2 linked regions of the Rattus norvegicus genome follow. The protein of the gene in region 2 purifies or fractionates together with the protein of the main gene of each other region. This does not show direct contact. Links are inferred from orthologs where the notes say so. Each region holds a gene or a part of one and is shown on either strand. Other genes may lie near its edges.

What was found. The genes of interacting proteins can lie anywhere in the genome.
Region 1: the proteins of Magohb (region 2) and Pym1 purify together in Homo sapiens (co-immunoprecipitation; 3 studies listed by BioGRID and IntAct, with this or other methods). This does not show direct contact. The link is inferred for Rattus norvegicus from reciprocal best matches to the Homo sapiens genes MAGOHB and PYM1.

What each region holds. Positions count from the first base shown.
Region 1 is NC_086025.1:1,779,637-1,784,230, forward strand, and holds the end of Pym1 (partner of Y14 and mago), read left to right. Parts: intron 1-2,367; coding exon 2,368-2,461; coding exon of another isoform or gene 2,462-2,609; exon of another isoform or gene 2,610-2,830; coding exon 2,831-3,311; 3' UTR 3,312-3,795; downstream 3,796-4,594. UniProt on the Homo sapiens protein: Key regulator of the exon junction complex (EJC), a multiprotein complex that associates immediately upstream of the exon-exon junction on mRNAs and serves as a positional landmark for the intron exon structure of genes and directs post-transcriptional processes in the cytoplasm such as mRNA export, nonsense-mediated mRNA decay (NMD) or translation.
Region 2 is NC_086022.1:166,767,639-166,770,621, forward strand, and holds part of Magohb (protein mago nashi homolog 2), read right to left. Parts: intron 2,939-2,983; exon of another isoform or gene 2,786-2,938; intron 2,634-2,785; coding exon 2,575-2,633; intron 1,688-2,574; coding exon 1,577-1,687; exon of another isoform or gene 1,566-1,576; intron 1-1,565. UniProt on the Homo sapiens protein: Required for pre-mRNA splicing as component of the spliceosome. Plays a redundant role with MAGOH in the exon junction complex and in the nonsense-mediated decay (NMD) pathway.

The DNA of each region.
Region 1 (4,594 bases), on a different chromosome or scaffold from region 2:
TCCATTCTTATAACATTGACTATAAAGTTTATTTAATTTAGTTATCTATAGATAATACTTTAAATGTTTTGGTTTGTTCTTTTGAAGGAGTCCCTTATGTTAAAATGCTGCAGGTTGGATTAACTACCAGAGGTGAAGCATTTGACCCCTTACTTCTCCGACACTCAGTGCAGTCCTACATAGCACGAGTGTCTTAGGGTTTCTGATGCTGTCATGAAACACCGTGACCAGAGTGGGAGGAAAGGGTTTATGTGGGCTTATACTTCCACATCACTCATGCTAGACTGATTTAAAACACTACTGGATGACAGATTTGTTCATTTACCAGAGGTCCTAAGACAATCTTTTCAGTAAAGGACTCATGTCAGATATTTATGTCGCATGCCATGTGCCCGATGGTAAGGTCCTGGACGGGCATCCGCAGCTGCGTGTCCCCTGTCCTGCTCCAGTACACTGCTCAGCTCAGCCAGACCAACCTCACCACTACATACAGTCTTGCTTTTCTGCACACTTGTTTTATGTGTTCTGAATGAGTATGTATGTCTGTATACTGTGTATGTGCCTGGTGCCTGTGGAGGTCAGAAGAGGGTGTCAGATCCTCTGGAAGTGGAGCTACGGATGGTTACAAGCCTCCATGTGGGTCCTCTGCAGGAGCAAGAACAGAGGCTCTTAACCCCTCAGTCATCTCTCCAGCCCCCTACCCATCTGAACGTTGTTTCAGAGGGAACTTGTCTTTCTTTTTTTTTAAAAAAAAAAATTTTTTTTTAAGATTTATTTATTTATTATATGTAAGTACACTGTAGCTGTCTTCAGACACACCAGAAGAGGGCATCGGATCTCTTTACAGATGGTTGTGAGCCACCATGTGGTTGCTGGGAATTGAACTCATGACCTCTGGAAGAGCAGTCAGGGGCTCTTAACCACTGAGCCATCTCTCCAGCCCCGGAACTTGTCTTTCAAATCCATCTTGCACTTTTCACTTACCTATTTTATTTTATGTATGTATGTGTGTGTATATGTGTGTATGTATTTATGTATGTATGTGTGTATATATGTATGTATTGAGACAGTGTCCCTTGTAGTCTAGGCTGGATTTGAAATTGCTGTGTAACTGAAGCTGAGCCTTTTCCAGATCTTTCTGCCTCACCTCTAGATCCTCTGAACAAGCAGCCAAAGCTCTTAACCGCTTCCTCCTTCAGTCCCAGCGTGGCTGTGGCTCTTGTTATTCCCTGACATCACCTGTCTGACTCACCTGAAGAGCTGGTGTACCGCTGGGAGCCTTGCCTAGTATATGAGGGCTCAGTGCTCTATGCCAGCAACTCTATACAGAATACTATCTCCTCCCTCAAAAACAAAGAAAGAAGAAGCTCTTTGTCCCCTGAGTTCTTCTCCCCAATACCATGTCTCTATTTACTTTTTTCTATCACCTCCAAGTGTTATATCATGTCTTAACCATTTTCTTCTTTTAAAAGTTTGTATTATATCTTTGCTGGGTGGTTGTGTTTTTAATTGCTGAAGCCTCTGGTCCTCTTAAAAAATATATTTAATTATTTTGAGTACTTTTTTTTTTTTTTTTTTTTTTTTTGGGTGTATGTGTGTGCATATGTGCCGTGATGCCAGAGTCGGTTCTCTCCTTTCACCATGTTGGTCCTGGGGATGAGCTAAGGTCTCCTGGAACCTTTACCTACTGAGCCTAAGGTTTATGGGGCCGGGGTATAGGTCATTTGTAGCACAAACACAGCACCATGTAAATCAACCATGTAGACTTCTGAGTGTTCTCTTGATGTCTTCCTGGGCACCTTGTTGTATCCGTGTATGCACGGATATACACACCTCACATGCACATAAATAAAAAACATGAACCAGTGTCCTTTGCATCCGCGTGTTCCCATGCCTTTGTGATCCATCTTCCTAAAAGTTTTGAATAAAATCTTTCGCTCAGTCTTCTTTTCTCTTCTCCGTGTACTTGCCTTGGCCCCTGACGGTGTGGTTTCTTTACTGCTGTTGATGTTCCCTTTGCCTTGTACTTTCTCAGAAAGCCAGCTCTCCCTGGTCTGCCTCATGTGTTACTTAGAAGCAGCAGCAGCCACTCTGTGGGGGCAAGGATTCTGAGTTAGTCAGTAAATAGCAGAAGATTGAAAGTTGATGTGAGAAGTGCCTTAGCTGTGGTCTCTCACCTCAGCACGCAGGAAGTGGAGGTGGGAGAATTGCAAGTTCAAGGCCTGCTTGTTCGACATACTGAGCCTTGTCTTTCATTAGGACGGAAGGATGGGTGCTGGGGGTTGTGCACATTTACACACACTTCTCTCACTTTGGAAGGTGTTTGGAAACGAGAGACTAACTGCAGCTTAATTTCTGTCATTTCAGGCAAGTACATTGCCTCAACACAGAGACCCGACGGGACATGGCGCAAGCAACGGAGGGTCAAAGAAGGATACGTGCCCCAAGAGGAGGTCCCAGTGTGCGTGGTTAGGCTTAACAAGGGGTATTTAGTGGGTCCCTACACAAGTATAGCGTATTATGCCGTGGAGTTCAGGGATGAATCGCCTGGGCCTGAAAGAAATGGAAGGAGGGACAACGGTCTCAGGAGAGGAAGGAGCTGGGATTGAGGGGTGAGTGGGGGTTTCCCCAACTAGTCTTGTTCCTTTGACCTCTCTTCTCCAGGATCTCTAGACAGCAGTCAGAGGGCCAGAGCCTTGAGTTCTAGAACTTTGGTACAGACCAGGGACCCTGAAGGGCAGAGAAAACGGGAGTGCAATGGGAAGGGGTGAGGTGGGAGGAGTGAGGCTGGGGTTAGTCCTGGAAGCTTTAGCATCTCTGTTTCTTGCAGCTATGAAAACAAGTATGTGAAGTTTTTCAAGAGTAAACCGGAACTTCCCCCAGGGCTGAGCCCTGAGGCCACCACACAGGTCACACCATCCAGACCTGACAGTGGTGAAGCAGGCCTCTCCAAGACAGCCAAACGCAACCTGAAGCGGAAGGAGAAGAGGAGGCAGCAGCAGGAGAAAGACGCGGAGGCCTTGAGCAGGACTCTTGATAAGGTGTCTCTGGGAGACTCAGCCCAGATGCCCAGTGCTCACCATGGCCCCCAAGCCACCCCTCCAGCTGCCTCCGATGCACCTGACTCTGCTGCCACCACAGAGAAAGCCAAGAAGATCAAGAACCTGAGGAAGAAGCTGCGACAGGTGGAGGAGCTGCAGCAGCGCATCCAGGCCGGGGAGATCAGCCAGCCTAGCAGAGAGCAGCTGGAGAAGCTGGCACGGCGGAGGGTGCTGGAGGAGGAGCTGGAGGACTTGGAGTTGGGCCTGTGAGGCTTCAGGAGTAGGGGAGTGGACTGCAGAACAAACCATGGGGTGCTCTGGGGTCCAGGGAGCGTGGGCCGCAGCAGTCAGGAGGGGCACCCCCATACTGGCTCACTTCCACCTCCTCTGGCCCGACTCCGTCCTCCAGAGCCGAGGCTCTCTCTCCTTCATCCCTTTCCCTTCTCAGCTCCCATTTTTGAACTTTTCCCTTCCATCCATTGTTCACAGTCTGAGTGCTGACCCCAGGTACCTCTGCTGCTGATCTGGGTGTCTTGTTGAAAAGGAACCCCAGGAGGGTGGGAGTCTGTCGGAGATCTGAGGCTGAGGGTACAAGGAGTACCCACGTTTTAGAGTCTTGGTTCCTGTTCAGTGTTTATGAGTTACTTCCCTGCCATCCCGAACCTCTTCTTCCTCTTCCTCTTCCTCCTCCTCCTCCTCTTTTTTTTTTTTTTTTTTTTTTTAAAGGCAGTAAGAATAAATTCAACTAGACGGCATGGCTCAGGCTTTGACTCTCTTCTCAACTCTTGTTCTGTCTATGAAGAAGACACTAGGGTTTTAATGGTGCTGGGGACTGAACCCAGGGCCTTGCACATGATAGCCCTGCCACTAATCTGCATCCTAACCCTTAACACTTCACCATCATACATGCAACTGGCTGTGGTAGCACACACCTGTAGTAGGACTGGAGTCAGGCGGGATCGCCAACATTTCAAGGCCAACCTGGTCTATCTCAACAAAGTAATGTAGGGCAAAATTACACTTCAGTAAACAGAAGTTAGCATTGAAATGTAGTAAAATTTAGAACAAGATTAATTTGACACTAATGTATGTGTCATTGTGCCACAGAACAATACATCTGCTGTACCTTCCTTATTGCTTCTGAAGTTAACTGTAAACCAGTTGAAATTTCACCTTGGATGATGCCCAAGATGGTGTCAGGGCAAAGTAATGACTTACTGAGATATATCCAAAAGATCTGCTGTTCATCTCTTGTCTTACCCATGCTGCACCTTTGTCACAGAGTACTGGGAACCAGGGTTAGCTCTCAGGAATTCAGAGGCCACCAAAATTAACCCCGTTAAACTCTTACCCTCTCCCAGGCCTTTTAAAGCTTTTGGATCTTTGAGAATCCTTCCTTTACCATTACTGTCACCCTCAAACATGAGCTAAGTCACCCATGTCTGTGTGCTCCATGTGTGCTTGCCCATGGTACACAGACGTGGAGAAGACATCCACCTTGTAAGGCTTGATGATTCTGAACCTCAGGGATCCACCTGTGTCCACCTCCCTAG
Region 2 (2,983 bases):
CATAGAGTAATGTGGCTACTTAGAGCCTAATCCCCTCTGAAACAGAATGAAAACTAGAACTTACATAACAATGCAACATAATCAATATAATCTAGTTACTCCAGGATGATTATCATCATACAAATTTTATCTGTACTACTTATCCAGAAATCTAAAGCTAGTGAAGGAGCTGCATATTAGTGCATTTTTACACTAAATTATCAACCAGATGCTATTAAAGACAGTCCCAGCTATTTAATCAAAAGGCCTAACTGTGCACTTCATGAGACACAGCCACCTGAGGATTAGCTAAGATTCTCTGCTAATCACAGCAGGCTTGGTTTAACTATCCGGCAGCAGTGTCTGGAGCACGCAGACTACTCCCTCACAGAGAACGCAAAGCTACTACACAGGAATGAGCACTGGCTCTCCCCAGATGAAAACATTTTTATACATACTCAACGTCCTCTGTCTCTGAATTTATTTTTCTAAAATTGATGTTCAGAAATGTTACTAAGGCAGAGATAAATGAAAAATAGCAACATTTTCTCATGTATATTACAAATCTACCCTCTGAAAGAGTATATCGCCTTATTAACACAGACAAATCTGCATATCACATCCTCCCTGTAGAAACAAGTTTAATAGTTTTAAAATGCCCTGCTGTTCTCTGTGGACACAGATGCCCAGTTACTCCTATGCAGTGGCCCTGTAACTCGGGTTCCCGCAGGACACAGACCACCGCCTCTGCTTCCTGATACGACGCTCTGCATGGAGTTCCTGCCACAGAACAGTTCCACCACTGCTCCTTTCAACATGTGCCAGGCTTCTCTACAGATCTTTCTTCTCGTCAAAAAGAGTGCCCGCCATATGTATAGTCCTCAGAACACACAAAAGTGACATTAGATGCTTAGTTCTTTCGACCTTGTATCTCATTTCTCTAAGAGTTGAAAAGTCCCAATTTAGAAACCAAACTGTCTATACAGAGTGAAATTGGGCCTGCCGAGTTCTTTGGGAGCACTTTGGAAACATCGATTATTCTGAGGGGGGTCTAAGAAGCAAACACAATGGTCCACTTGAGCAAAGAAATCCATCGGGTCTCTCTCTGCGGCTCTCAGATATATGAATGTTAAGACAAGAAATTGGAGAAAGTGAACTGCTACATTCAATGAGAATAACCATAACTCTCAAATTTAGCTAGCAATGATGGTGTATACATATTTATAGCAGAAATAACTAATAATAATAGCTAATTTATAATAAATAACTCATAAGTGTCAAAATGTCCAAGCTTGAGCTGTACAAGTTAGAGAAAAGATGTTACTGCCTAACTTTAGAGCTATGTGCTAATACCTTTAGTAAGTGGAGCTAGCAAGGAAAATGGAGCCAAGTAAGGGCTGTGAGGTGTAACTCAGAAGCATTTGCTTGCTGGGAATGTACAAACCTTGACTTCAATCTCCAATACCAAAATTAAAAAGTTTACAGAGAAAGTAAAGTTATATAATCAAAGTTTCAATTAAAAAAAAAAATCCTAAAAACACACTAAGTATATTACCAACTTTGACTCTATCCACTTAAAAACTCACAAGGCACAGACCTGCCGGCCAACCCTGTCAGGAGGCGGCCACAGAGCGTCGTCCTCCTTTGTAATTTCACTGTCGTCAATGATCCTTTTCAGTTCTTCCATTACACTCTTGTGGACATAAGCCTGAAAATCAGTTCAATAAAATCTGTAAATGCCCATCTGTTTGAATGTCCCACAGTTCAGCATGACAAAATAAAAGCAAGTCCTAACTAAATGTCCAAACACAATAGGCGTGAACAACTGAATTTGATCCCAAATCGTCCTTCTCACTACTGCTACTTTTTCTACACCGTGCTCTTTACAACACACTGTGCCGTCTTCCCACTCTAGCTTCTTTGAGGCTCCATATTCTTCTGGGGAAGCAGGGGCACCCAGGCAGCTTACAGTTACTGGGCCAGTATTAGGGCCATAGAGTAAGAGCACAATGCTCTCACACGTGAGCTGGCACTCAAAGGCCAGCCTGACTTCCACGCCTTTCATTTAAAATTTACACTTCATAAAATGAATTAAATGATATGGGGTTATAAGTATTAAGGGTGATTCTTTTGTTAAAAAAAAAAAACACTAAAATGAAAACCACCAAGATGACTTAGTGGGTAAAGGCAGCCGAGGAAAAAGTCCTGTGTTCTATCACTAGAACCCATATAGTAAGAGAAAACCAATTTCTACCAGCTGCATACAAACACAATAAAAAATTTTTTAAAAAAATGCTATAATCATATGTAATTAAAATAAAAACATTTCAATCTATAAATTGGTTTCTTGAAACAGACCTCTGAAATAACTTCAGGATAAATGAACAAGATATAAAAAAATAAACATGTAAACAGAAGTTAGCCAGAGGCAGGTGGATCTCTGAGTTCAAAGTCAGTCTAGTTGGCTTACACTGAGTTCCCCGACAGCCAGGGCTACAAAGTGAGACGCTGTCTCAAAAGAAAGGGAGAGAGAGAGAGAAAGAGAGAGAGAGAGAAAAGAGAGAGAGAGAGAGAGAGAGAGAAAATAGAACTTGCCTCTTTTCTGATCATCACATCATTTTTATAATTGCTGTTGTTGGCATATCTAAGCTTCCCTGTGTGGAGAGAAAGAGAACATCATGAGTAATTTTAAAGGTAAAGATAATTCCATAATCCCACTTTTATTAGTATATCTACTTTCCTCATGCAAGATCAATGCTAAATACTCAATTAAAAGCAGGCTAGTAATTTTTAAAATAATCCATACCTTCAACATAAAATGGGTCAGGTTTGTTAAGGTCTGTTTGCTTTCCTTCCTTCCTTCCTTCTTTCCTTCCTTCCTTTCTTTGAGACAAGATCTCAATGTGTAACGAGGTTGGCAGCCTTGAACAAACAGGGATCTATCCGTCTGCCTCGTTGCCTATGTTTGGGGATTAAAGTTGTGCACAGTAAACAGTTTATTTTC